Mus musculus: one gene and its partner. The protein of the gene in region 1 interacts with the protein of each later gene in a biochemical or structural test. Links are inferred from orthologs where the notes say so. Each region holds a gene or a part of one and is shown in the gene's direction. Other genes may lie near its edges.

What was found.
Region 2: the proteins of Tnfrsf8 (region 1) and Tnfsf8 form a complex in vitro, tested with the Homo sapiens proteins (2 studies listed by BioGRID and IntAct). The link is inferred for Mus musculus from reciprocal best matches to the Homo sapiens genes TNFRSF8 and TNFSF8.

Annotation. Positions count from the first base shown.
Region 1 is NC_000070.6:145,283,909-145,299,035, reverse strand, and holds part of Tnfrsf8 (tumor necrosis factor receptor superfamily member 8 precursor), read left to right. Parts: intron 1-185; coding exon 186-302; intron 303-2,042; coding exon 2,043-2,186; intron 2,187-5,846; coding exon 5,847-5,937; intron 5,938-6,275; coding exon 6,276-6,442; intron 6,443-10,519; coding exon 10,520-10,610; intron 10,611-10,959; coding exon 10,960-11,057; intron 11,058-13,611; coding exon 13,612-13,710; intron 13,711-13,836; coding exon 13,837-13,890; intron 13,891-15,127. UniProt on the Homo sapiens protein: Receptor for TNFSF8/CD30L. May play a role in the regulation of cellular growth and transformation of activated lymphoblasts. Regulates gene expression through activation of NF-kappa-B.
Region 2 is NC_000070.6:63,854,940-63,870,166, reverse strand, and holds the start of Tnfsf8 (tumor necrosis factor ligand superfamily member 8), read left to right. Parts: upstream 1-8,882; 5' UTR 8,883-9,107; coding exon 9,108-9,317; intron 9,318-15,227.

The DNA of each region.
Region 1 (15,127 bases):
TTGGGCTGCCTATTTGTTCCCAGTGACCTCCATCGAGGTCCATGCCTCCGTCTGTAACACAAGCATTATCTGATGCAACCGCTTAAAGCAGAGATGAATGGGATTTAGGTATGAGAAATGGAGGGTGGAAGGCCAGCCTGTTACCAAGACAACCTAGCCTAGAACTTCCCTGCTGCTTTCCCCAGGGTTGTCTCCGACACAGCCATGCCCACGGGGTCCTGCCCACTGCAGGAAGCAGTGTGCACCTGACTACTACGTCAATGAAGACGGGAAGTGCACAGCCTGCGTGACCTGTTTGCCAGGTGAGAACCTATTCTCTCTCCCTGGAACGTGTCTCTCCAGGGGTGGGGGATGCGCAGAATCTGAGAGGCAGGAAGTATCAAGATCTGATCTCCTGGTGCTTCTATTTACCTATCTGGATTTGAAGATTGATATCAGCAGCCATCTTTTGCATCCATACTTTTCAGAAAGATGCAGTGTGCTCCCTGGAGGGAGAACGGGCATCATCACAATGCCCCCATGAAGGACCCTTTTCTCAACCCATTTCTATAGTGAAGAATCTGAGGATTCATAATGTGAAGGGCCTTCCTGGAGCAGTCCGAGCAGTGCCCTGGCATCAAGAGCTGCATTCTTTCTAACAAAGAAGGTGATGCTTCCAGGAGAGTTCTTGAAATAGGTTCTTCTAATATTAATTGCTTGTGCTTAGTGATAGTGTCTGGCATTTTCTTTTGGTTTTGTGTGGATGGTTAGGTTGAAAGACATGTTGAGATTGTTCTCAAAACCTAATAATCATATTTTATCAAAGCTTTCAGTGCCTTTTTTATAATGTGTATTTTGTTTATTGCATGCAAAGATTTTTCTAAAGATTGTATTTTCTTCCTAATTGTGAGTGTGTGTGTGTGCGCGCATGCGTCCTTCTGTCTCCATGTCCTGGGTACTGGGATCACAGGTGTGCACTGCAATGCCTAGTTTATGCAATGCTGAGGATAGTACTCAGGACTTTGATCATGCAAGGCAAGCAATACTCTTAGCTACTGAGCCATCTCTCCAAACCCCACCCCCATCTTTTTAAGCATGGGTTCTGGAGATGAAGCTCAAGTCCTATGCTTTCACAGAAAGTGGTTTATCCCACAGCCATCTCCCTCAGAGGAGACCATTTAGTAGTCAGACTCCAATACAGAAGATGAGCTAGTGTGGCTATGTATTGCTGAGTTCCTGCCTCATCGTGATTCAGCTGGGATGCCCATCATATGGGATTTGACCATAGACGGTGTATCTGTGCCCAGAACATACAGTGCACTTCCTAAAACTCCTCATGCTTCTATAGTTTATCTTTCCATCCTCCTCACCGTGGCAACCACTGATGGCTCTCCTGCCTGTACAGTTAAAACATCAGTCTTGCTGGAGGTCCATGAAAATCACAGTGTAATGCCTTTTCAGAATGGCCTGTCACACAGTTACGTGTACTTCAGTTCTTTCCATATCCTGGGACATCATATATATGCATGGAGTGTGTGTGTCTGTGTGTCTGTGTTTGTGTGTGTCAGTGTCGGCTGATGTCAGGAGTCTTCCTCAGTCATTCTCCAACTTCCTATTTGAGACGGAGACTCTCTCAGAACCTGGAGCTCACTGATTCAGCTACATTGGCTGGCTAGCCAGCCCTAGGAGTCTTCCCATTTCTGTAGCAGTCATATAGGGTCCTCTCAGTTCAGTTTTTTACATGGGCCCTAGAGATATAAACTCAGGACTTTCTGCTCTAAGAACAACTGCTTTTACCCACTAAGCCGTCTCCCTAGCCCCACATTTATTTGTTTGTAATCTATGTAGTAGTAGCAGACATATGGGCTGGAAGTGAAGGTTACCCTCACGCTGCCCCTTTCATGCACATCAGGAGAACTGAGGAGAGGCACAGAGTGACAGCCAACTGGTCTGACAGAGGGTCATGTGGCATCTTACCTTCATCCTGGATTGTCCCTGTGTACACTGGACCCCCACCCTTGGCTCCCCTCTTTCCCTTCCATGACCCTCTCTGTGTCCCTCAGGCCTTGTGGAGAAGGCTCCGTGTTCCGGGAACTCTCCTCGAATCTGTGAGTGTCAGCCTGGCATGCACTGCTGCACACCAGCAGTCAATTCCTGCGCCCGCTGCAAACTCCACTGTTCTGGAGAGGAGGTTGTCAAGTCTCCAGGTGAGTGTCCCACAGCTCCCACAGCTCCCACAGCTCCCACAGCTCCCACAGCTCCTTAGTAGCTACTGTTGTGCCCGCCACAGGCCTCCTAACCTTCCCACCACTGTAGGATAAACAGGTCGAAGCTTCTCTCCCCATGCTGTGATGTGTGCAGCATCCGTTCGGGGTTTCTGCTGCTCACTGCTCACATCTGCGTCCTGTCAGAGGTACTCTACTGGCAGAGGCCCACGCCTGGTTAAAGGAGGCTGTGGGCACATTTGAAGCTTGGGGTCAGGGATGATTCTCCGGTGGTCCACAAGTAAGTAGGAAGCCTCAAGTCTCTACCCTGGGAGTTATCTGACAAATTAGAGCTACCTTCCCTGCGTCAGAATAGGACATTTTATTGGAGAGAGGAGTACTGAGACATTAGGCAACAGATTAAAGGCAGAGAAATTACTTTGCTTTGTTTTTTTCCCCCAGTTTGCCTCGTGACATCAGGCCTTACCATCTCCCGTTTCTAATTTTTTGACAATACAAGGGAGGAGGAGTTCATGGTCAGAGGAAGAGATAAGAATCATGGAACTTCACTGGTTGCCATTAGAAGTGGTGTTTTGGAGGCTAGGCTGATTCCATAGTGAGACTCTGTTCTCAAAAAAGGAGGTGGTGGTGTGCTTTCTAGAAGGGAGACATGGAGGTGGGGGTGCAAAAAGGACAGTACAATCACATAAACTCCTGGTGGGGCAAACCGATGGTGAGGGGTGAAAATTGCAAACCCTTTTCTCTAACCGGTGTCCTTGGCTTTTCTGGCTCCTAGCTTCATGGGCATTTTCCAAGTTCCTGAATCACAGAATGCTCTCTGTACTGTGGGACCCTGTCTGCAATCAGAAACGTAGCTGAGGGCTGGGCTATATTGAAGATTTTTACCTGTGGATGGGGCCAGTTCCTCTAACTCTTTCTCCTTGCTCATATGATGAGGAGATGTTACTTAAAGGCCTCCGTGTTTGTCTGTCAGACAGATTCTCAACCTTCCAGCTAGCATGGCTAGGCTGTCTGGGCAGAGTTCCCAAGACTGCCACATGGGGGCAACAGAGGCCTGTCTCTGAAGTCCTGCCATTGCCATGTGTAAAAAAAAAAAAATGCTTAAAATGTGGCAGGTCTAAGTTAAGATGTTCTGTCTATAATGCTCAGTAAGTTTCAAAGACCTACCATGTAAGCGAGAATACAATGTATCTTTTTATATTTATATTGGTTACCAACTGACATAGATCATTATGTTGTTAGATTATTTCTTTCTGAGACCCGCTCTCATTTTGTAGCCCAGGATGTCTTGTAAGTCACTATGCGGCAAGACTGGCTTCAAAACCACAGTAATCCCCCTGTCTCATCCTCCCAAGTGTGGGTATTAAATGTGTGAGCTGTGTGTGCATGTGTGTATGCATGCATGGACACACGAGTGTGTGTGTGTGTTGGGGACTGAACTCAAGGCCATTCATGTCATACAAGGACTATACCAATAAGCAATACTCCTAGCACAAAGACATCATTAAAATTATTTATTTCTTTATTTATCTTTTGAGACAGAGTCATTCTGTTGCCCAGGTTGGATTTGAACTTCTGATCTTGCTTCCTCAGACTCCTGACTGCTGGGATTACAGGCATGTGCCACTACACCCAGATTCATTTTTATTTTTCGATTTATTTATTTTATGTATATGGGTGTTTTACCTGCACGTATGTCTGTGTACCACATGCATGCCTAGTGCCCACAGAGGCAAGAAGAGGTTATCGGATTTCTTAGAATTGGAATTATAGAAGGTTGTGAGCTGGGGATTGAATCCCATCCTCTGAAAAAGTATCCAGTGATCTTAACTACTAAGACCACATCCCTCCTTTTATTGAGACAGGGTCTCATTATGTAGCTGTTGGCTGACCTGGAACTCACTAAGTAGACCAGGCTGACCTGAAACTCACAGAACTGTTCACTTCTCAAGTCCTGGGCTTAAAGGTGTGCGGTACTGGCATAGTGACACAGCACATTCTGTCAGTGGCCCTGCCACAGTCACCTGACCTTGTTCATCTCTGGAGCCCCTGTGGACTCTCCCAGAAGGCAGCTCTGGGAGATGTAGGATTTCCGGTTGTGAAAGGGGAGAGTAACTTCTGTTTCAGCATAGCTCACAGATAGCCAAACACTCAAGGCTATTATGGACTTTCTTCGCAAGCATCGCGTGTGTGCAGAGCAGATTCCATCAGCTCCTTTCTGTGGGTAGGGAGTTTGACACCCAGAGATGGCAGATGAGCAGCCCAAGAACGTAGAGCCAGGATTGGGTGCTCAGCTGAGCTGCGTCAACTTCATCGCACTGCTGACCTTGCTGTGTTCACCTCCACTGAAGTAGTTGGGGCATCTTCCAACTCATGTGGGTCACTCCCTCCCTCGGAGATGAGATTGGCGTTGGGGTGTGAGAAAGTACAGTACAGGCAGTAAGGTTGAGCGCTTACTGTTTATTACCTAGTATGACAGACTTGTTTTCATGTGGTTGTTTATATAAACAGCAGCCTAATGAAGACTGTTATGATCTCTTGACTGCCTGGCTTAGTAAGAATGTGGTAGAGATGGAGGGCAAACCCAGGAGTATCTGATGGTGGGTGTGTGTCTGTGTGTGTGTGTGTGTGTGTGTGTGTGTCTGTTTGTGTCTGTGTGTGTGTGTGTGTGTATATGTGTATGTGTGTCTGTGTGTGTGTGTGTGTGTGCACCTGTGTGTGTCAGTGTGTATTTATTTGTGTATGTTTGTGCTTGTGTCTGTGTGTGTATGTGTTGTGTGTGTCTGTGTGTGTCTGTGTGTGTGTCTGTGTGTGTCTGTGTGTGTGTGCCTGTGTGTGTCAGTGTGTATTTATTTGTGTATGTTTGTGCTTGTGTCTGTGTGTGTGTCTGTGTGTGTGTCTCTGTCTGTGTGTGTCTGTGTCTGTGTGTGTGTCAGTGTGTATTTATTTGTGTATGTTTGTGCTTGTGTCTGTGTGTATCTCTCTATGTGTCTCTATGTGTATGTGTCTCTGTGTATGTTTATGTGTGTGTGTATCTGTGTCTATGTGTGCCTGTGTGTCTTTCTGTGTGTATATGTCTCTTGTGTGTGTGTCTGTGTATGTATTTGAGTATGTCTTTGCGTGTATCTCTATATGTATCTGTGTGTGTCTCTTTGTGTGTGTGTGTGTATCTGTGTCTATTTGTGCCTGTCTTGTGTGTCTGTGTGTGTCTCTCTCTGTGGGTGTGTCTGTGTGTTTCTGTGTGTGTGTCTATGTGTATGCATCTCTGTGTGTGTTACTGTGTATGTCTCTCTCTGTGTCTCTGTATATATGTATCTCTATATATGTATCTCTGGGGGGCACAAATATAATTATGTGTCTGTCTGTCTCTGTCTGTGTGTCTGTGTGTCTGTCTGTCTGTCTGTGTTTCTGTAGCTGAGTGTGAACATCTGTGAGCGTCACTGACCAAGCCAAGTGAAGGGATAGATCCTCCTCACTCCAGAGTGAACAGATACTGGGAAAGCCAGAATCTCTGTCTCGGGGTAGCCATTGTGTCCTCCTAGTACCTTGTCCATGATTCTACATGTGGTGTTGACACTTCTGCTCCTGGGGACTCTGAGTTTCTCAGTGCCTGTTCTGAAGACATTGCTGTCTCTTTTATAGGCACAGCAAAGAAGGACACTATCTGTGAGCTGCCTTCCTCGGGATCTGGTCCCAATTGCTCCAATCCGGGTGACCGCAAGACACTTACTAGGTGACTCCTGTCCTCCTTTCTGTTCCTCTCCAGGTGATCTTGGATGGGGCTACTCTGTCCCATGACACACAGGGTGCACAGGCAGGATCAGCCCAGGCTGGCAGGACCCTAGGGTGGCTCTCTGACAAGCTCACCAGTTATATGAGTCCCTGCTGTGTGTGTCTAGCTCTGCCTGGTGCCCATAAGAGACCCAGGTCTAAGAAACTTGGCTTTTGCGCTCAGCTCATAGCAGGGCACATAGGGGCTGAGACAGGAGCCTTTCTCCATAGACACTAATCCCCAAACCCAGACCTCCTGGTTTGTGAAGTCATCAGATCTTTGTCTGGCTTCTTCTACAGCCATGCCACTCCTCAGGCCATGCCTACTCTAGAATCCCCAGCCAATGACAGTGCAAGGAGCTTGCTGCCAATGCGTGTCACCAACCTTGTGCAGGAAGATGCTACTGAGTTGGTGAAGGTTCCAGAATCTTCCTCGTCCAAGGCAAGGGAGCCCAGTCCAGATCCAGGTACTGTTTAATTGAAGCTGTGGCAGTCTCCCAAGGAGGTGCTGTCTGATAAGGGGACCTGGGTATGCAGAGGACTCTGAGCTGCAGCTTGCCAAGTAGGAACAGAAGAGCATCTCCAGGATGCAGCTCCTGAGGCTGAGGCTCAAGTGCCAAAGGTCCTGAAAGGGCTCTTTCTTTCCTAAAATTTCTGAGTGCCCTTGCATGCCAGGGGCAGGTGCTGTGTGTTCCTGCCCTGTACTCAGGGTGCTTATGACAGAGCAGGTGGGTTCAGGCCATGGCTCCCATGGCCCCTAACCGTTCTCATGGCTCTCATAGCTGAGGACCCAGCTACTGTTTCACCACTCAGAGAAAGTGAACAGCCTGCACTATACAGATTCACTGTTCAAGGTTTTGGGTGTTTACAACTTGGGGCTTAGAAATACCAGTGAATAATAAATCAATCTCTCTCTCTCTCTCTCTCTCTCTCTCTCTCTCTCTCTCTCTCTCTCTCTCTCTCTGTGTGTGTGTGTGTGTGTGTGTACTGATCCTCATTGAGGTCAAAGGTCAACCTTGGGAGTCTGTAGAAGCCATCCACCTTGTTTTTTGAGACAGGGCCTTTCATTGGCCCAGGACTCAGCAATCAAGCTACGTTGGCTGGCCAATGAGTCCCAAGGTTTCACTTGTCTTCTCGATAGCACTGGGGCTACAAGTGTGCTCCACCATGCTTGCCTTTGTATCTGGCTGCTGGCATTGAACTTGGGTTCTCAGAGTTGTGCAGATGGAACCATCTGCCAGTCTGAACTGGAACATAACACTTGTATGCTTCCTGCTTTTGTTTGGTTAATGGTGGTGGCTTGTGATTCTGGCCTCAAGCCCTTCCTTCCCGCTATGCTCCTCACGCTTTCCACCAAGGCCTTTGAGGGACATGTTCATTCCTATTCTGCCTTTGGTGGTGGTGGTGTTATTTTTATTTTGTTTGTCTTTGGCTTTCTTGTTTGTTTTCATGGGGTTTTTTTGCTTTTTGTTTTGTTTTGTGTAGAGAGTCAGTCTTGCTACATAGCACTCTATAGCACTAGCTGACTCAGAATTCATTATATAGCTCAGGTATCTTAGTTAGTTTTTGTGTCTACTTGATACAAACTATAGTCATTTGAAAAGAGGGAACCTCAATTTTAAAAATGCCCCTAGCTGATTGGCCTGTGGCCAAGCAATCCTGTGGGGCAATTTTTTTTTCTTCCCACCATGCCTGGCTGTTTTTTTGTTTGTTTGTTTGGTTGGTTGGTTGGTTGGTTTTTTTGGTTTTTAAAGGTTAAACATTTAAAAACACAAACCAAATGAAAGCTGTAACTTTAGTAGGTCTGATGATGCACGCTTTTAATCCCAGCGCTCAGGAGGTAAGGGCAGGTGGATCTCTGTGAGTTTGAGGCAAGCCTGGTCTACTGAGAGTTTCAGGACACCCAGAGCTACATAGTGACACCCAGGACACCCAGAACTATCCCTTTCAACCACCCACCCACCCACCCAACCAACCAACCAACCAAACAAGCACACACAAATAACAGCTTGTAACTTCATATGGCCAATGCAGAAAGTCAGTTGATATTTTAAATATAATCCCTCTTAGTGTGCTTTCCCTCTCTGTGATAGGAACACCGTCTCTAATTAGCATTACAAGGGGAAGGGTCCTTTTTAGTTCTCAGTTGGGGAGATTTTTGTCTATAGCTGCTTGGTTCTGAGGCAGCTCATCTCCACAGGCGTTGCTCACCTCATGGTGGCCAGGATGCACAAAGAGGCAAAGGAGAGGTAGGGACTTTTTCACGGACGTACTCCTGATGACCTTTCTCCCTTCCTCTGGGCTCCAGGTTCTGAAGCTCCACTGCCTCTCAGTAGCATGATGGATGTCTGGGATACAGTAGCATGATGGGTGGCTGGGATACAGTGGCATGATGGGTGGCTGGGATACAGTAGCATGATAGATAGCTGGGATACAGTGGCATGATGGATGGCTGGGATACAGTAGCATGATGGGTGGCTGGGATACAGTGGCATGATGGATGGCTGGGATACAGTGGCATGATGGGTGGCTGGGATACAGTAGCATGATGGATGGCTGGGATACAGTGGCATGATGGGTGGCTGGGATACAGTAACATGATAGATAGCTGGGATACAGTAGCATGATGGGTGGCTGGGATACAGTAGCATGATGGGTGGCTGGGATACAGTGGCATGATGGGTGGCTGGGATACAGTAGCATGATAGATAGCTGGGATACAGTAGCATGATGGGTGGCTGGGATACAGTAGCATGATGGGTGGCTGGGATACAGTGGCATGATGGGTGGCTGGGATACAGTAGCATGATAGATAGCTGGGATACAGTAGCATGATGGGTGGCTGGGATACAGTAGCATGATGGGTGGCTGGGATACAGTGGCATGATGGGTGGCTGGGATACAGTAGCATGATAGATAGCTGGGATACAGTAGCATGATGGGTGGCTGGGATACAGTAGCATGATGGGTGGCTGGGATACAGTGGCATGATGGGTGGCTGGGATACAGTAGCATGATGGGTGGCTGGGATACAGTAGCATGATGGGTGGCTGGGATATTTACCAGAGTTCCTTTTCTCTCTTTGATATGTGTACATACTTGTGTGCAGGCATGCTTGCGCGCATACATGACACATGTACCATGGGGTCAGACGACGACCTGTGGGTATTGATTAGTTGGTTCTCTTCTTCCACAATGTGGGTCCCAGGATCCAACTAAGGTCATCACCTTAGTCACCTAAGGTCTTTCCTGCTGAGCCATCTTGCTGCCCTTTAAGCTTCTTCTAAATAAAAAGCAGAAGCTGCTTTTGGAACCCTGCCGCAGACCCTCTTGGGTCCCTTGTCTGTGTAGAATGGGTTTCTAGTTGCAGATGGGCAAGGAGTCAGAGAATGACAGACAGACGCAACGCAAGAGGTTGTGTAGAATCTGAATGTAATTTTTCAAATTGAGCATCAAACTATTTATACAGAAGAAAATAGGGAAGTTAGGTGACACATCGGCAAGGTACAAATGAGGTTACCGGATGCTTAATGACTCTTACACAAAACAGAGGAATGTAAACAAAAGGACTGGCAGGAACTGGGCAATAAAACAACTGAGACAAAGTCAGCTCTATCTAAAGTCAACTCTATCTAAGGTCATAGTCTTAGAAGCCAGGTGTGAGGTCTTTACACTCCTAGGGCAAGGGCTTTCACACCCAAGTTATGGTTCTAATTAGGGAGTTCCGCTCTAGCTAACCTTCTCATGAATAATGCAATACTCTAAAACAACAGCCTGATCTACTTCCTAAACCATTGTAAATTCCTGTATATGGGAGCGACTTGGATTTTATCCTAAGTGATAGTGTGAGGGGACTTTCTACTAATAAGTAATGTAGTCTGCCATATATAACTATAATAAGAATTCTAAACTTACATTGCTAAGCTTGCCCTGAGATTTCTAACTCTATGTAGTAGATAGTAAAGCCTGATTTCTTTCACTATCTCTCTTACAATACTAGAGGCAATTCTGAATGTCACTGAATAGGCAACATTCTTACTGAATTCCTACTGAATTCCAAGTTTGTCATCTTCAAGAATTTTCTGGGACGTTGGAACACTGGCGAAGGCTTAGCTATGTCAGAATTCAATCTTAAAAGGCACTTATAATAAAATAATACTAAAAGAGAGCACGTGGATCCATACACCAGACTAACACGGGGATAGGGTATCAGTATACGGGTTATGAGAGTAACCGTTGCCAGAGTTCCAGGAGGTGAGTTTCCGTGAAACTCTTTGCCTCGTGAGTGCTTCCAGGCCTCTCAGCCTGCCAAGCAGACTTCACTGGAGCGTGCATAGCAGAACCCATGGTACCATAGCCTCTCCAGTTTGATGCTTTAAAGCACAACCCTCATGGCCTTTGTCACTTGTAGCCAGGAATTGTGTGTTATGGAAGACTCCCACTCACTACTTTCCACTACCTCCCAACTGCCTCCCACTGTTCCCCACTGCAGACTGGATATTCAAACTCTCTGCACTGATTCTAATATGTCATCATACCTATAGGTAATGCAGAGAAGAATATGACCTTGGAGCTTCCATCTCCAGGGACACTCCCTGACATCAGCACCTCAGAAAACAGCAAGGAGCCTGCAAGGTGACTCCTAGTCCCCCCACCCCATGGGAAGGGCAGAATGGCCCTTTGTATGCTCAGGCAGTGTCCAGGAAAGTAAGGGCTAGACATGCAGGGGCATCAGACCTTGAGGCCTTTGGGGAGGTTGGGGAGGAACATGGCTGTGTGTCTGTCTCAGTGATTACAGGATTGTAAAGCCAGAGGGTCTAGAGCTTAATCAATACCTCACAATGCCTGTAAAGACTGTGTTGATCTTTTGGGTACCCAGGCTTCATCTTTACCCTCTGTAGAGAAGAAACATCCTTCATTAGACACACCCTTTTTACATGGCAACTGTGACCATCACCCTTGTCCTTGGTTTCCTTTGGTATAGTACCGCCTCCACCCTAAGCCTTGTGGTAGATGCCTGGACCAGCAGCAGGATGCAGCCCACCTCTCCATTGTCCACGGGAACACCATTTCTGGATCCAGGTAATGATCATTCACTGTCCAAAGCAAGGGGCAGCAGGACTTCCTTTCAGGGCTTTGGCCTCGGGTGGATTGAGAAATAAAGACCAAGCCCAACTTTCTGGCTTCTAGAACTGACCCTGTGGCTCTGCCGTTTCCTAATATTATCTCATTCTTGGGACAGAACTTTTCTTTTTTCATGACTTCATTCTGATGGCCTATAATTGCTACCCAAAATTCAGTTTTGAGGCTGGGGGTGTGGCTCTGTTGGCTGAATTTTCACCTAGAATACCCAGCACCTCTGGGTCTGATCCCTACCAGGGTATCCACGGGGCTTCGTAGTGTATGTCTATAATCTCACGGCTGAGAGGTAGATATAGGAAAAGTTCAGGGTTGGATCAATGAAGTGGCTCATTTGCCATCTGCCCTGCCCAAGGAAGCAAGCCCAATGAACTCAGTTTGATCCTGAGAAACCATGTAGAGGCGGAAGGACAAAACAAAAGGCTCTAGGCATGGCAGATGCTTGGTCTACATGTCAGGTTCAAGGTCAGTCAGGGCTACATAGTGAGACCCTGTCTCATGGTTGTTAAAGGTCACATTCTGCTATATAACAAGTTGAAGGCCACCCTGGGCTATATGAGACCCTATTTGAAAAGAACTCTCACTTGGGGTAGTGGTACATGCCTTTAATTCTAGAATTTGGGAGGCAGAAGCAGGTGGATCTCTGTGAGTTCAGGGCTAGCCTAGCCTACAGAGTGAACTCTAGGACAGCCAGGACTACACAGAGAAACTCTGTCTTGAAAATCCAAAAAGGGGGGAAAAATAGAAAGGAGAAAGAAATTGAATAAGTTACTAAAAGTCTAGGAAGCTTAATTCCCTTCATCCTCAGTTTCCTTGGATATAAAATGGATAGCAAATCAGCCCCCAGGATTATCAGCCTATAGCACAAGTATGGTCTTCACATTACCAGAGCAGGATCAAGACAGTTGCTGCTCCTGCTAATGAGGTAACACCAGGCAGTTTTAGGACTAGCAGTACTAGTTTTGGACACACGGTGGCAATAGTTCTCAAGTTAACAGTTCTCAGCATGCCATAGAAAACTCTTTGAGGGCTGTGGCTATGGCTTAGTTGGCAAAGTGCTTGCCTAGCACACCAAAGAGCCTTGGTTCCATTCCCAGGCCCACATAAACCGGTGTGGTAATACATGCCTATAATCTGAGCACAGAGGAGGTGGAGGTAGGTAATCCTGAGAACACAGTCATCATTGGCTACACAGCAAGTTTGAAGCTACCCTGAATTACTGTCCCAATAATAACAAACAAAACAAACATACTTGAGCAATAACACCCAAGGCATGTACCCAAATAACAATTAAACAATTAAAATAATCAGTGTAGGCTGTGTAAGGGTGGGTCGAGTAAATGCATGGGCTAGGCAAGGTTTAGTATACATTGAGTTTAGTATACATGAAGTTTAGTATGCATTAGGTTTAGTATGCATTAGGTTCTGTGTTTGATTCATGTTACGCTGTGTGCATGTGCCAGTGTGTGTGCAAAGAATATGAAAGCTGAAGTTACCTGGCCTGAGTGGTGACTCTAGGGGTGACTGGACAAGATTTAGTCTTCCTCCTTTGGCTCTAAAATATATCCATTCATTCCTATGTATATGATGTTAGTGCCCCAATGCCATGTTTCGTGTCTGAAAGTTAGAGGGCAGTTTCTGCGGGCTTCTTTCCTTCCACTTTTCTGTGGGTTCTGGACATTGAACTCAGGTCATCAGGCTTGCAGTAAGTACTTTACCCACTAACCATCCCACTGGCCCTTTTTGTTTTAATGGCTGAAAATGCTTTGTGCAGAGCTGACCTTGTGTCTGCCCTCGGGAGCTGATGGTCTCAGTTTCCCTAACCAGCCTTCACTCTCCCCATCTCAACTAGCTACAGCACTCCAACTTCTAGAGTTTTGTTTTGTTGTTGTCGTTTTGTCTGTTGTTGTTGTTGTTTTATATGAAGTCTCACTATGTAGCCCTGACTAGCCTGGATCTAGGTATGTAGATCAGGCTAACTGGTTTACCTCCATCTCCCTAGTGATGAGATTACAGTCATGTAACACTATACCCAACCCATTCTAATTCTTTTATTTTTTCTTCTTCAAATATGAGTACACTGTAGCTGTCTTTAGACACACACCAGAGGTGTGCATCAGATCTTATTACAGATGGTTGTGAGCCACCGTATGGTTGCTGAGAATTGAACCACTGAGCCATGCCATCTCTCCAGCCACCACTCCCCCCCCCCGCCCCATTCTGATTCTTGATGTCTCGATTTCTCATCCTCTCTGGTTTCTTTTTCTTACTTTCTGAGCTGCCATATAGCTTCCTGGAGCCAGGTTGGGGTGGCAAGGTAAGGGCTGAATCAGATGGTCCCAGATTCGGGAAGGTTCAGGGCTGCTCATCTCAGTGGGACCCATGTCCCAGGAAAAGTAGGAAGTGGGCTGCACCTAGGACTGTCCTGTGTAGTCCAGGGAAGGGCCCTGGCTCCTAGCTGTGCACAGAGTACAGGATGGATGACACTGTGTTTCAGGGCCCGTGCTCTTCTGGGTGGCCATGGTGGTGCTACTGGTTGGCTCCGGCTCCTTTCTCCTGTGTTACTGGAAGGCCTGTAGGAGGCGGTTCCAGCAGAGTAAGTGCATGTGTCTTGGGGTCCTGGGGAAGGTGGCTGCATTAATCTGGCCTGGCCTGGGTACTGCTCTGTCTTTCCTTTTCCTACCTGCTCACACCCTAAGCCCCAAGCCTGCTGTTTTTGCAGAGTTTCACCTGGACTACCTAGTGCAGACCTTCCAGCCCAAGATGGAGCAGACAGGTGAGTATCAGGCCATGCAAAGGGCTATCTGGGCCAGAATGGATAGGTGCATGACCAGTGTAAGGCCTGGGGCCTAGACCAACTCATACAAAAACAAAAAACAAAACCAAAAAAAACAAAAAAACAAAAAAAAAAACCATTGTCCAGCAAGGGGTGTTTTGAGTTGGAGAAGTTTCATAAGTACATGCTCGTACCTCCTAAGCGCTCCCCAAGCAAGGGGTTTTTTGTGTTTTGATGGTTTCAAGCTTGTTTCCATGAGCTGTTGGGCAGGGTTTATTGAAACCGCTGTTTGCTTTCTTGACATTTTTCTAGTATTAGAGTTTCCATTGCCGTCAGTTAATTTTTTTTTTGTTTCTCTCCAAATGTTCATGAGAACAGTCTTGTTAGAATGAGAGAAACAGAGAGAGAAAGAGACAGAGACAGAGAGAGACAGAGAGAGAGTGTATCCAAAGAGTCTATCTAGGCCTTAAGACTGGCCTCAGTATTGTGTCTGAGGCTAGTTTTGGACCTCTAGATTCCCCTGGGTCCCTTGATGTTTTTTTGTTTCCAGGGTTGAGTGAGAGGAAGTGCTCACCTGGGTGAGCACACAGGGTCCAGATAACTATATTCTAGGCAAGGATAGTCATGACCTGGGCAGCGTGGGCCTGAGCAAGGTAGACATGACCTGAGCAGGGTAGGTGTGACCTGGGCAGAGTTGGCATAACTTGGATAGAGTGGGTATAGTCTGGGCAGGGTGGGTATGGCCTGGGCAGAATTATCTTGAACAGGGTAGGCATGGCCTGGGCAGGGTTGGCATAGCCTGAGTAGAGTGGATATGGTCTGAATAAAGTAGTTATGGCCTGGGCAGTGTGAGTATGGCCTGGGCAGTGTGGGTATGGCCTGGGCAGGGTGAGTATGGCCTGGGCAGGGTGAGTATGGCCTGGGCAGGGTGAGTATGGCCTGGGCAGGGTGAGTATGGCCTGGGCAGGGTGAGTATGGCCTGGGCAGGGTGAGTATGGCCTGGGCAGGGTGAGTATGGCCTGGGCAGAATGGTCTTGAGAAGGGAAGGGTAGACATGGCCTAGGCAGCGTGGGCCTGAGCAGTGTGGGGACAGCCTGGGCAGTGGGTGATAAAGGAGCATTTATTCATTTCCTTGCTGTCTTCATGAACACATCTTCAGCACAGGCTTTGTCTAGGCACAGGCAGTCCTAGATCTTTCAAACTTCCAGACAAGTGTGACAGCTGGTAAGAGCAGACA
Region 2 (15,227 bases), about 81 Mb from region 1:
TGGAACACTTCAAATTAACAAAAGAAAAGTTTGGGAACATTCCAAAATATGTATAAAAGTCAAGGACCCACTCTGTTCCTGGAGGTATCCCAGGGATTCCCTGGTCCATAGCATTCACATCTGAACCATACTAAAAGTAAAAACGGTCATCGTACTAGAAAGAAAGCAACCCAGATTTGAGTGACTGACTGCCTCCCCAACTCAAAGGTTACAAGACCCTGTCCCACTTCAGGCTCTGATCAAATGTGTGCTTTCAAATGGAAGGAGTAGAGGGGAACTCGAGCACAGGCAGTCCCTAATTACCCACCATTTTCTATCACTTTATCAAGGCAAGATTTCTCAGTAAGGCACTCCACCCAGGTTTTCCAATTTGAGCCCCCCCCCCATGTGGATGCTATAGCTCTGTAATACACAAATATCAAGATATGCACTCTTACTCATGTCCAGCCCACCAGTGCACCCTGCATTCCATAGCTGAAAGCACAATATTGGAAAGGCAAAGTTAGACCAGGATGTTTTGTTCTCAGTAAAAATAATTACTGTGCAAAATGCACTGGTGTGATCTGTTGTGGTTCGCTTGTTTCTCCCCAACTTGTCTGTTCCCAAGTGAAAACTGGTGCCCCTGAGCAGCTACTGCAGCCAACCAAGGGTTTACTGGGTTGCCCTAACCATCTGGAGATAAATTGATTTTTTTTACTTCAAAGCCATGACTGCTGAGCGCACATATTTCCTAGAAATTGAAAGAAGAAAACTTAGCCCACTTTGAAGAGAAAAATGTCACTTCCTGATTCTGCCTGCATTCAAAAACATTTCTGTAGGACATGGGTGTCTCCTCTCACCTCCCATAATTCTCCACACATCCAGTAAAATATGCAGGCCAGATTGCTTACATGAAATACTTTATCAGTGAGTTCATAAAGATCTACTTTTCAAAAACAAAACAATACAAAGATTTCTACTAAATATACTTGTGATCCTAGCACTCAGGTACCTGAGGCAGGAGGATGATGAGTTTGAGGTCAGCCTAAACTACAAAATAAATAAGTGAATCCTGCCTTTAAAATAATATAAATAAATACATTTAAAGATAAATAAACAAGGAACAATCCTCAGACTCTGAGATTTCAAAATATACTTAGCTCCGCCCTTGCCACCTTCTCACTTCCTCCTCTCTAGAAAGGACACTGCTATATCCAGACTCGTTCTACAGTAGTTATCAGGCATCCATTCTCAGGGGAGTGTGATAGTTTCTGTCTGTTCTATTTAAAAGACACTAAGGGAGTTGTTGTAAAATTAGCAAAACAGTGAACACAGATATTCATGAGTGAATGACCCAAAATTGGAGTTCACAAAATGCTGACAAGTTGCCAAATACATAAAGTGATCATTGGTAACCAGAGGAAGAATCAGGCTACAAACCTAAGGAGGGAGGTGTATTGTTAATTGGAAGTAAAGGTGGAGAATATCGGAGCAGCAACTTAAAATATGTACACACAAATAACATTATATGGACTGAGCAGATTATATCTCTGTATTTAGGAAGTGTGTGTGTGTGTGTGTGTGTGTGTGTGTGTGTGTGTGTGTGTGTGCATGCACATGAGCATGAGTGTGTCTGTGTGTGTGGTGTGTGTTTAACAATCAAAGGAAAAGGCCACAGGGTTGGAAAGATTTTCTAGTGTTTAAAAGCACTTGATGCTCTTGCAGAGGTCCTGGTTTCAATTTCCAGCAGTCACTTGTTGGTTTATGACCATCTGCAATTCCAGTCTGAGTCAATCTGATGCATCTTCTAACCTCCTCAGGTACCAGTTATGTATGTAGTGCAAAGACATGGGTTCAGGTAAAACACTTATACACACAAGTAATAAAATTAACACATTAATTTTTTAAAGAAGCCATGCATTTGAATGAAAGCTTTAAAAAAATTAGGTTAAAAAATGTGAACTGCAAGAGATGCAAAAAAGAGCCTCTAATTTTGCAAGAAGGATACTGGTCTTACAAAAAAATGAGTCAGAAGAGGTTATTAGGTATGGTTAGAATAAAACAATGCATCTGTAGTAAGGGAAGAATTCAGTAGCATCAGAGGCTGAAAGTGAGACTTAAAGGGAGGTAAGAGAAACCTTTCAGATGATACAGCCAGGATACTGCAAGCAACATCAGACGCTGACAGATTTCAATCCAGAAGGGGAAGGGAGTTGAGAGGCTTACTAAGAGTTGGTAATGGATTCCTTCTTATTGAACTAGTACAGAAGCCAAAAGGGATAACAACTTTTCCCACAAAGGATGGTGCGTCCGCATGAGTTCCCCATGTGTGCACACAGCATTCTGAATCAACAGTTAGGAGTACCATCTTGTGACAGCCACTTCTTTAAATGAGCTTTATACCAGCCTGTCCATAAATGCAATGCAATAAAGGATAATGTTTGCCTCTCGCATTGTTACCTTGATGATGAGATGATGCTTGCCTCGCTCGTTGTTACCTTGATAGTGTCCTGCACATAGACTCTCCATGCTCAGTGATGATTCCTCTCCATGTACCATGACTTATCATCATGGGAGACCCTTTCCTCAGCTCAGCACATGAGTGCAGTGTCAACAGCTTTCTGAAGGACAGTTTCAACCATTTGAGTTTTCCAACCCTACCCTGGAAGAGGTTGGGGCATGAATACATATTTAGTCTCTTCCTTCTATACTTGGCTTTCCCACTTTTATCGTTAATTCTGTGTCACTGAAAATTAAAGTATATTTCTTTCTTTTTTATGGTTTTAGCGCTTTATTATAGAAAAGGAGAGAGAGAGAGAGAGAGAGAGAGAGAAGCAAAGGGCAGCCATGACCATGTGGAGAGAGGGGGGAAGGGAAAGGAAGAAGGAAGAAGAGAGGTGAGAGTAAGAGAGACAAGAGCTTAGGAGAGACAAGAGCAGTATATCTCTATTGATGCAAGTTCTCACTAAATACTCTAGACTTGCCCCAAACTCAGGGTCCACCTGACATTGTCTTCCAGGTGCTAAGATTGCAGGCATGCCCTGTCAGCACAGGCTGAAACTATATTTGTTTTTTTTAACATTTCAGTATTTCCACTTGTTAAGGTTGGCTGATATCCTAATTCTCCAGAATGGCATGCTTTCAACAATCCTCAGTCATTTCAAAATGTTATATATTTCAAAGTGTCTTTACAGCAATCAAATTGTGCATTTCTATTTTTGAGTTCCTCTGCTCTCATGAGCAAAAAGAGTGATGAGATCTAATATGCTTCCTTCTTTGCCATGATGACCGGGACACCTGTAGATATATCTGTCATACTCAAATACATTTCTCAATACATTAACCTTACTCTTTCCATTCAGATCTCTGGCTTTATGTTAATAGTTTCCATGATTACCTGTAAATTTATTTTAAATTGTCTTAAAACTCCCACATGCAATTTAAAAATAAAAATGTATGAATTACTGAGAGCATCTTTGTATTTATCTTCAAATTTTTCTCTACCCAACCTTTTTCTCAGATGCTACATTCTTTACAACAGTCAGCCTTCATAATATACCTACCACATAGCTCAAAGAAAATCTTTTTAGATGAAAGCATAGATTAGCAAGAAAAGCATTCACAAGGATTTTATAAAGGAAGCTTCAACCTTTCTCTGTTATTCCCCCAAGTCTTCTTGATTATTTTGCCTTGATTTCATTTTAGTATTCTAAATCATGTATCAGAAAAGTCTAAAAGGATGATAAACTCTATAATAAAAGAGTTTAAGACTCTATATGCAGTAAAAAAATTTTAGATTGTATAAACTATAATGTCCTTATTGAAGCTACTCATCTCTACCATTATAGAAACATCCACAGAAAGTGGATAAGCAAATGTTCATGATTATTTCAATAAAATATTATTGACTAAAACAGGAGATTGCCAGATTTGACCATGGGCCATATTTCAGTGATCTTGCTTCAAATCTATCACTCTTTTACTGTGTCCTCTGAATAAATGTCGCATTGTGACTGAAGTCTAATGTCCAAGTTCATTGGACAACATTGAAGGCTCTTGGGTTAAGGGGACAAACAGTCCCTCCTCAAAAGGTAGTTTAGCTCTGTGCTTTGTTACTTAAAACATACCCTATGTGAGTTTGTTCCCTCTCAAATATACCACATTAAAAAACAACTTTTTATTACACAGTCTTGAAGTGTGGACACTATGCCCCTCCTTAGAATTGGGAACAAAACACCCATGGAAGGAGTTACAGAGACAAAGTTTGGAGCTGAGATGAAAGGATGGACCATGTAGAGACTGCCATATCCAGGGATCCACCCCATAATCAGCATCCAAACGCTGACACCATTGCATACCCTAGCAAGATTTTATTGAAAGGACCCAGATGTAGCTATCTCTTGTGAGACTATGCCAGGGCCTAGCAAACCCAGAAGTGGATGCTCACAGTCAGCTAATGGATGGATCACAGGGCTCCCAATGGAGGAGCAAGAGAAAGTACCCAAGGAGCTAAAGGGAACTGCAACCCTATAGGTGGAACAACATTATGAACTAACCAGTACCCCGGAGCTCTTGACTCTAGCTGCATATGTAACAATAGATGGCCTAATCGGCCATCACTGGAAAGAGAGGCCCATTGGACACGTAAACTTTGTATGCCCCAGTACAGGGGAATGCCAGGGCCAAAAAGGGGGAGTGGGTGGGTAGGGGAGTGGGGGTGGATGGGTATGGGGGACTTTTGGTATAGCATTGGAAATGTAAATGAGCTAAATACCTAATAAAAAATGGAAAAAAAAATTCAGTCTACTCTATAAGATCCATAAAAAAAAAAAAACAACTTTTTATTACACAGTCTTAATTCAAGAGAACTATAGATACTAAATCTTCTTCATTTTATTCTAGAGATATCTGCATCCTCATAACCAATAGTAACTTTAGATTCCACAGTTGTAACTGAGCTTAAATAGATGGCTCAACCAAAGCACCAGAAAAATAGTGCTCAAACCAGCACTTCCCAACAACACGATGCTAGAGACTGCGATGCTAGAGACTGCGTGATTCCTCTTCACTTTTCACATCCACATAGTACAACAGTAGTATTCTCATCCAAGGATATCTTGGATGCTCTTTCTTAGTCATTCTACCACTGTTTGTCAAATGCTCCCAGGATAGTCTGAAGTACTTTTCCAAACATGGGTTTCCTGATGTCAACCTGAGTATCTGCTTCAGTAGCCCTTTAAGGTTTTTAAGTTAAGTCTTCTAGTGATGTTAATGCTGATGGTGCTGAGTCAGAGACCATCCCCTAAAAGCTCCTACTTTGTATGATAAATTCCCAAAGCCCATACTATTAGGAAGTAATGAAAGGTAGGAAAACTACAGCTGTGTTGTCTCTATTTCAAAATAGATTTTACTCATCAAAGGATGAGAGATTAGCTTGGTTTAATACACTGTCAGGTACAGGAACCACATCTTAGCAACTAATGTTACTTTAAAGGACACCAATGGACAATCTCACTAGGACATGCTAGAGTGGAAATATAGTCAGGTAAATATAGGAAATATAGTTCTGCTAGTCAGGTAAGTAAGGAAGATAGAAATATAGGAAAAGTAAAGGAGGCAGAAATCCACCACACAATTCTTTTGTGTACCCAGCCCTCTAGAACTCTCTTGCTCCGTAGCCACAAAGTCAAGATGATCAATGACTGAGGGTTGGTCATTTATGGGCCTAGATCTAAATCATGCAGATAGGATGCAAAGATGAAGAGAGCAAGAACAAATGGAGTGGCTCTGGGACTCTAGCATCTCACAAGGTAGGCAAAATTGACATGTGCTCACACACTTGTCAATAAGTAGATTCAGGCAGGTAATTACATCACTAGGTGACGTGGCCTGGAATCTAGAGAGTGTGTTAGTGGGTTGCTATATAGAGGCAGGTTTTACTAAGGAGATGGAGCCAGATGGCCCCTGTTCAGAAAGATTTGAAAGACAGACAGAGGCATAGCAAGGTAAGAGAAACATTCAAGGAAGCCTGAATGGGTTCAGCATATTTTCTGCAAAGACATCTGGAGAACAGACAGAGGGAAGAAGAAGCCTGTTTCTTTCCCTTCCCTTGTGAACCAAATCATTTCATTTCGATCTCAAGAAAGGGGTGTGTGTGTGTGTGTGTGTGTGTGTGTGTGTGTGCACTCGCGTACAAGCACGCACCCATTGACTTCCAGTGTCATCCCTCAAGATCCACTGCCCTTGCTTTTTGAGATGGAGTCTCTCAGTAATCCTGAAACTCGCTGATTAAGCTAGGTTAACTGGTCAGCAAATCTACCTGTCTTTGTCTCCATAACACTGGGATTATAAGAGCATGCCACTGCACCCAGCATTTATATGTGGGTTTTGAATAGCACACTTCGGTCCTCAGGCTTGATCACTGAGTGAGTTCTCAAACCCTTCAGGTCATGTCATCTCAGTGTCTCCATCTCCTTCCTTGTGAAATAAATAATTTGAGCTAAATAATCACAAGACTCCATATTTCATGTATCATGTACTGACTCTGGGTCTTATAAAGTGAGCAATCAGCTAGGCTCAGCCTTTCTACCTGACCTTCCTCTGCTCCGGCCAAGTTCTGCTTTTTTTTTTTTTTTTTTTAACATTTCCTGTGCAGTTTTACCTCCAAGAAGGATTTGAAAATAACTCAGCAAGGAACCTGTAGGATCCTGCCACATGCACCTTGTGTGGCTTAGGTAGAAATTGAAAAGAGCCTGTTATCACAGGGAGTTGACTGCTAGGTTGCCTGGACCAGATCTTGCAACACATGAAAAGCATAGAGGAGGTGAAGACAACAGGAGTAGGGAATAGGGTGCCTCTGAAATTTCACTAGCAGAGGATGCAACCACAAAAGAAGTGAAGTTGGGCCCACAAACTGTTAGTGACTGATCTGAAAATCTCAACTGTTCAGAAGGTTCTAAGAACAAAGGGTGATTTTCCCCCTTGTCAGCCCTCCCTCCTAGGACAATGTACAATATGCAAAACTGTAAGTATAAGACAAACATTTTTTTCCACTGCCTCCTCAGCCCCATGGGCCTTCAGGAAGACCTGAACTTTAAACGAAGCCTTTTTATTTTTCAACACCCACAGCTTCCATTCAGCAATCAGAAGTTTTCCACTTCGATCAAAGGGGCTAAACAGAGAGGGCCAAGGGAGCAGCCGGTTCTCAGCAGCTCTGGGCAGATTGCCACCCACTCCCTGTCCGTACCTACCAAAGGACAAGGCTTTCTCCCCAAATCAAACAAGTGTACCCCCCCAAAACACTAACTTGCCTTGCCCTATCTAAACCAGCAGGACAAGTGGCTAAGGACAAATCTGTCTTCCAAACCCCAGGCTCAGTTTCCTTGACAACCAGATGGAGACACTGCCCTCGAAGAAGATACTCACCAGTTCATTCCTCACTACCTATCCCTCCTCTGTGGTTTTTCATTTTATAAACTCACCAAAAAGGGCCTCTAGACCATCTCCTAAGTCTAAGCTGCCTTGCAGAATGCTCAAAGAGAGATCTACACAGATCCAGAAAGCTAAATAATCTGAGCTGGGCTTTGGATCCGGCATTTCTTTGGGGCTTCTGACATGTCCTGTGACCTGCAGAGGTAGTGTATAGTCAAAAGAGAAGGTGCTGTCTACCTCAAGGGAAATAGCAAGTGAGGTTTCAGAAGGCCACATCTGGAGGCAGCTCTGAAGCTTTTAGAGAATATTCTGAAAGAAAGGTCATTCATAGCAACAGATACGATCCAGCTCTGTGTCCCAGAAATCTATTTATTATATGAAATTCCAGACATGGCCCAGAGGGCAACTTGGGCTGTTTAACAGGAATTGTTCAACAACAGCTGCCAAGTCCATTCCCATTCAGGAAGCCCTCTTACATCATCCTGTTTGATCTTCCCCATGACTGCAAAGCAGACTGGGGTGAAAGCAGGGGCTGCGTTGACTTATTCAAGGAGCAATGCTGAGAAGAGGAAAGGCTAAGATGCAACCTGAGGTTTTCAGCCTGTAAGGAAAGGGTCCGGCAGGCTTTTGGAGCCAGGCTGGTTTGCATATACCACCAAGTTTTACCATTAGATTAACACTGGTAGATTTGATTAAGAATGCTTTTATGCTGGGTCTCAGTTCTCTATGCTGTGAAGAAGAAATACTACTTGCCTCTGAGGCTGGTGACGAGTGTGAAGTCAGCCTCTAAGCCAAGTTCCCAAGACTGTACCTGAGCCAGAATGTTCAATTCTAGTAACCTCTGTCCACAAACTCATCACAAACACCTGGAACACTATTTGCACCCCCATACAACCCACAGACACTTCACACACTCGTTCCACAGCACTGAGCCTCCCCTTCCTGACCCCCTCACTAATTTCTTCCCCTAGTATGAACTTTAGGGCAAGCCAGTTTCATCGGCAAATTTAACAGCCCTGGAGAGCACCCTGCAAGAGATAGAGGAGCTTTGGTTCAACAGCAAATTATTTCCAAATTCCTCTTCTCTCACCATGTCTTTGAAACTATCCTCAAATATCCTACTGCCACAACCTTGTCTCCAGGTAGGTAAATGCCCAAACAGTGGGCTCTTCTTTCCCAGAAATGGGTATGTTTCCAGTTTAGAGCATGCTGTAATTGTTGGACAACCCCAACAGTCATTGTGCTGCTGACAAAGGACTGCCATCTCCAGGGACCCAGCAAAGAGACTAATCTGGAAGCTTCCTGGGCCACCAGCATGGATCATGCAGTGTGCAGGGTCCCCGCGGCAAGGCGTTCTGTGGCTGAGCCTAAAGGAAACAGAAGTGGTTGGTGTACACTCACGCGGAACTGTCTCCTTCCTACCACCCGCTGACATCAACCATCGTCTATCTCGCTACAATTTCTCTGCACTCAGATTAATCCCAGGCGATGAAAAATGAACCTCTCCCCCACCCTTGCAGCCACCCTTCGCCTCACGCCCCCAGAGAAGAGTTTCTCCATCCGGCAACTGGTGAAGGCTTTTTTCCAAGTCACATGATCCAGGATGCAGGGGAAAATCCTTCTTGGAACAGAGCTGGGTACAGAACCGAATCAGATGAGGAGAGATAAGGTGTGATGTGGGACAGACTATATAAAGCATGGAGCCAGGGCTGCAACAAGCAGGCAGCTGTGGGGCTCCTTCCCCTGACCCAGCCATGCAGGTGCAGCCCGGCTCGGTAGCCAGCCCCTGGAGAAGCACGAGGCCCTGGAGAAGCACAAGTCGCAGCTACTTCTACCTCAGCACCACCGCACTGGTGTGCCTTGTTGTGGCAGTGGCGATCATTCTGGTACTGGTAGTCCAGAAAAAGGTGAGTAAACATCTTTTTTCTGCTTTTCTTTCCTCATTTATAATGTGTGTCCTCTAGAGGAACAGCTCTGGGAAGCTAATGAATAGTTTAACTAGGAGCAAAAAAAAAAAAAAAAAAAAAAAAAAATTTAAAAAGTGAAAATAAGTAAAACTATGCATATATAGAGAGAGATTATATCAGAGAAAAGGGGAAAAACTAGAAATGAACTTTCTGCACTCAGTGGGAATTTTTTAAAAGAAATAGAACTGGACATGAGCTCAAAAATTTCCAGATGTACTGGAGCCAACAGAAGAGCTGCTGACCTTGAGAAGTTAAGATTGAAGCCCAGATGGGTCACAGCCTCACAGTATGGAGGGAGGAAGCATAGGGAGCCCTGATGGCGAGTGCGCATGTGGGTATCACCTCTGTAAGGCGCTCATCCTAATTCTAAGGTTATGTCCTCAATCCGTGCTCCCAGGACTTCTGAGGCCTCTCTTTTGCCGAGAGTCTGTTGTTGCTATTGTTTGTTTGTTTGTTGTGGTTGTTTTCTTGCTTGCTTGCTTGTTTTTAGTGAGGAGCTACTTTTTAAAGACTGTGATATTTGAGAGAGAGAGAGAGAGAGAGAGAGAGAGAGAGAGAGGGAGAGAGAGAGGGAGAGGGAGAGAGAGAGAGAGAGAGAGAGAGAGAGAGAGAGAGAGAGAGAGAGAGGCCAAGTCTTCCCAGAGCTCTGCTATTTCAATGTTAAAACCCACAAAAGAAATCGAAAGCTTCCTCACAAGCCACTGGCTTTGAAGAGTTCAGGGTGTTGAAAAGTAGCAGTGTTTTTGTCACCTGTACCCTCTGAGATGCACACATAATGTGCAGGGCCACACCATCTTGGGAAATTTCGTTTGTTTGAAATGGGGGTAGGGGGAGAAAGTCAAACCGTAGCTTAGAAAAGTATCCTTGAGAGAGAACTCTTACACACTGTCTGGAAAGGACTGCGTGGTCAGCTCACATGACTCACAGGCTTGGGGTGAGATCCAGGCATGGTGATTTGGATACTGTATGAATACCACTGGTGCAACACCCTGCCCAAGTGTGAACTCACCTAATTTATAATTCTTCCAAGTTGCCTTGGACCACAGACTCTGCAGCATACTAGTTGCTGAAAGCTAGGGCCTTACAAGTATCAGCAAGTATGGATATTGAAATAAAGCTTTAAAGCTCCTTCCTCCTTGGCAGTGTAAGAAGGGAGTTATTCACACTTGGCCTGCAGAGCTGATGGGACACATCAGTTCATGGATCGTTTGCATCAGGCCAAGAAGGACTCGCAGACAAACCTCTGGGCACTTTCTCTTCTCTCCACATTCTCTACTTTCTGTCACTCTGATTTTCCATACACCAGATGTATATTGTTTTGCAGTAATGGCCAGGCAAGAGAGATTAGAGTAGCCTGAAGACATTTGTCATTCAGAGGACACAGGCAGAACTGCTGGGTGTGGGGAAGAAGCCAAGGTGGGGAAGGCTGATGGTGGCACTGTGCAGAAGCAGCTCCCATCCACTGTTGAAATGATTCCTCCTGTGAAATCTGCACAGGCTTCTGCCCTGTTTCTGCAGAGGCACAAAATGAAGCACAGACAGGGGACAGGGCTTACAGTCAAGCACCCTGAGCAAGTGGTACAGTAGGGGCTGCTTAGTGGCTCTTGGTTGCTCTGTGAGAATGCTGTTCCCTTTGCTTGCCCTGATGGTGGCAGAAACATTCTCATTCTTCTCTCAGAGATTTTTCCTCTTGTGTCTGTTGATCTGACTTACCTCCGTGCCTGGGTATAGAACGGTGCACAGTCTGTGTGTAAGCTCTAGTATGCTGTGATTTTTTTTTACGTGTCAGATACTTGCTCACAAGCTAGGGCTTTCCATTTTAATGGCTATGCTATTAAGAATCTAACGCTTTTCGCATATCGTTTCTAGTACATTATCAGGCATTAACTGTGGCAAGAACTGGGGAAAAATGAGTCCCCTGGGCCTGGGTTATTAAGAGTACATCCCATAGGAAGGCAGATGGGGACTGTTACAAACAGGTGAACTTAGCAACTGGAGAGACTCAGTAGGAATCTGTCAAAGAACCCAATGAAAAGATCCAAAGAGCTCAGACTCGCATTCTAGTATTAAATATGGAATGGGCAATGAACACATGGTGTCCTCCTTGTACCACAGGGACTGTGTGGGGAACTGTGAGGTTTACCTTACTGCCCTATGTAGGACCACCTCGAGACCACCTGTGAAGCAGTAGTTCCCCAGCAGACTGCAAGAAAACATCACTGGAAACTACAGTATCTGGTCAGAGTGAGAAATATGAATAACTTTCAAGGAATGGAAGAGATGAGAATAGAGGCCCCACCTGCACCACTGCAGAGATGAGAAAAGAGATGGAGAAGGGAGAGTTAGCCATGTCAGGAAAGTGAGCTGGGATCCTTGAGATTTTGCTAGAGGAAGAAATCGCTATAGTGGAGACAAAGGGGAAACTGAGGCATCAACTCAGTATTTACTGAGTATCTATTTGTACTGGGCACTGTTATAGACACTGGGTACGTAAACCTAACCAAAACCTTGAGGCAAATCCACTCCCTGCCCTTGAATTGTTTATATAGCTTTCTAGTGATGTCTTTGAAGGCTTCTGAGATAGCTACAATTTTGTTTACATTTAAACCAACAATATTTATTATGAAATACATTTACGTTGTTCAGCAAAACTAACCAATAAATAAGGGTAAATAAACTAGAAGCCCTTCATGCCTTGTCCTCCCAGAGGTAGCCTGTCTTTGCTGAGGAAGCCACTGTAAACAGATTCCTGTGTGTTCTTTGAGAAAGCTGAGTGTCTACAAATACATAGTGCACAGATCTCATTATTAAGTCCACCTCATTCACTTGGTGCTTTATCATAGAGATCCATCCATTTCTATATGTAGAAGTCTGCTTTGTGCCACTGTAGCATCCTATCTGATTCTCTTGTGCCGACGCCTCGTGATTTACCTGTGCCTTGTAGGACATTTCTGTCTAGGACGTTTTGCCCTTTGTGCATATTTACAAACAGGTATGTGTAAACAAAGACCTAGAAATGGGAATAGACTGTGCATCTTTTCACTCAAATGAATGTTGTCTATCAGCATTGATGGTAACATCTTGAGGTAGGGAAAGTCTACCATCAAGGGAACAGCTTTTCCCAGCACTATGAGAAGAAAGAAAAGTTGAGTAGCTCAAGCGCATACACACTTTTCCATAGCTTAGGAAAGACTGCAGAGTAGTGATGAAAGCAAAAGGAAGAAACACAATAGAGCTTCTCTTACCACCCCCAGGAAAGAAGAATCCATGATGACACTGGTTTCCTAGGCCCTTTGCTCACAGAGAGCTGTTGGCATTATAAGGAAGCCTCTGGGCCATCAACCGTAGTCATGTCTTCGCTTCCTAAGCCAGGAGGCTGAGCCTACCCAGGCTTAGGAATGAACACAAACACAGTCCAGAGAGGTATAGCAAGTTCTCAGGTTGTTTGATTTTCAAATATCGGACACCAATTCTAGAAAGAGAAAGCAGCTAAGCCTACCTTTCTCGTTCTTTTGTAGGGAGAATGCTGGTAAGGATAGGGTAGGGCTGAGGCGATTTGGGAGGAGCCCTGTTTCTTAAACTCAGGCAATCAAAGTGAGGTGAAATGCCCTGAGTCGCTTTCCTTTTCTTAAGGGACTCCCCGCATCTGGAGTTCATTATTTTTAATAATTTGTTTAAATATTTAATTTTATTTAATTGTTTCAAAAAACAAAAAAACCTGAGATTTCTTTCCTAAGGAGCAAGCACTCTGCAGTGTTTTGAAGGAAAGGCTCACGTCCATGTGTGGGACCCACTCTGGGAACTCTCCCAACGTGAGAAACTAAAGCCTATGAAACCAAGCTTCAGGCAGAATACTCCAGATAGGAGAACGGGCCACCTCTGCTGAGGGTGGTGAGCGTTTGGGGGAGTAACTAGAATGTAAGCTGAATCTGAGAAAATTTAGAAACTGTCCTTTAATTTTTTTTTTCAAAAACGATATGCTAAAACCCATATAACTATCCACTAAATCTGTCAAGAATCTATCACATTCATGCTGCCTCTGTACATATATGAAAGTAAGGTATGGGCAGGGTGGCTTCACTCACCCATATTTTGCAAGAGTTCACGGTAACTCAACAATGTTGCCTAGTAACATACAACACATACAGTCCATGTTCCATCTCCCCATATCTTCTATGGCTGGGTTTTTTATCGTTACTTGGGAGATCTAGGCTCATATACCACCTGCTGTGTGATATCTGCATATGTGTTAGTCGAAAACATTTTTTTTTTTCAATTTAATGAGTAGACCTATCTGGTTTTGTGTCTCATATCTGTGATCCTAGCTATTCTCAAAGGTAAGGCAAGAAGATTACAAATTCAAAACCTGCCTGGGCAAACTTAGTGAGACCCTGTTTCAAAATAAAAAGGTTTAAAGGGCTAGGGATGTAGTTCAGTACTGGGGTGCTTGCCTAGCATAGACAAGGCTTGAGTTCATTCTCCAATACCACAAGAAAATAAAATTAAATAAAATAAGAAAGCAAACCAATACATGGATAGTCCTGCTAGGTTGTTAGAAAAAGATTAGAGTTTGAGAGATGGCTTAGTGGTTGAGCTGCTTCTACCATGCATGAAGACCTAAATCTGCATGTTCAGAATTCAGGTGCATAGCGATAAACCCATTGTTCCTAGACAAAATAGGATTTAGGGACAGGAAAGTCACAGAGCTTCCTTATCTAGCTGGTAGGTAGTGAACACAGAAGGACAGACGTGACAGAAGCTAAGAACTGATATCTGAGGTTGCCCTTTGACCACCACATGTGCATATATACGTACATATATATACATATGTGTGTATATATACATATATATACATATGTGTATATATATTCACTCAGAGCCATGAACATGCTTAGACACACATACCCACATACATGATACACACACACACACACACACACAGAGAGAGAGAGAGAGAGAGAGAGAGAGAGAGAGAGAGAGAGAGAGAGAGAGAGAGATTAAAACTTCCCAGCTTCCCCCCAGAGCTACGAGTCAAACCAACATTTTAATAATCTTCCCAGAATAATAAAATTTGAGAAGCCATGCGGGAACTGTTACACCTGCCCTTGATTGTTGGTTTTGTGGTATTGACTATGTTATAATTCTTTAGTAGAACAATCTACATTCTAGGTCTACCTGGGGTTATCTATGCTTGATATTATTATAGCAGCTAGGGACAAATGTCTGGTTATTTATAGTTATATGTTTAGATACCTCATTAAGGGGACAACTAGCAACAATTTTTCTTGTCATGAATATGTAATCTGTGGTGTAACACTCTCAAGACATGAATGTCTTCCACTCAGCAGACTGGCATTTCTTGATGATCCTTATCTCTGAATCCTTTATTACCCTGAGGATTATGATGGAGGGTTAATAGATGCTGTCATCCTTTTGACTCACTAACTATATTCTTCTATAAAGATGAGCTCTCCATTATGATAATGGCAGAGGTAGGACCCATCAAGCTAGACAATGAGTAAAGGCATGGCCCAGAGAAAGACAAATTGGATTGTGAGAGTTACTAGGGTATGAACAATGGTCAGACTACAGAGCAGGCCAAGACATACCAGGAAGTGAGACTAGGTGACCACATTCATTGATAGAGGAGGCCCAGAGAACAAAGTACCAACTCCATCTTTAGAGCAGGAAGAGTTCTTAATCTCACAACTTCCTGCAGCAACTTTCCAAGACTATAAGACCTACTTGCCTATTACAATACATCTTGAAGCCAGTCCTACTCTAAAAGTAGCTAGTGGATCAGACATGATAGCATGGCCAGGAGACTAACTACAGTCAGAATACCTCAGA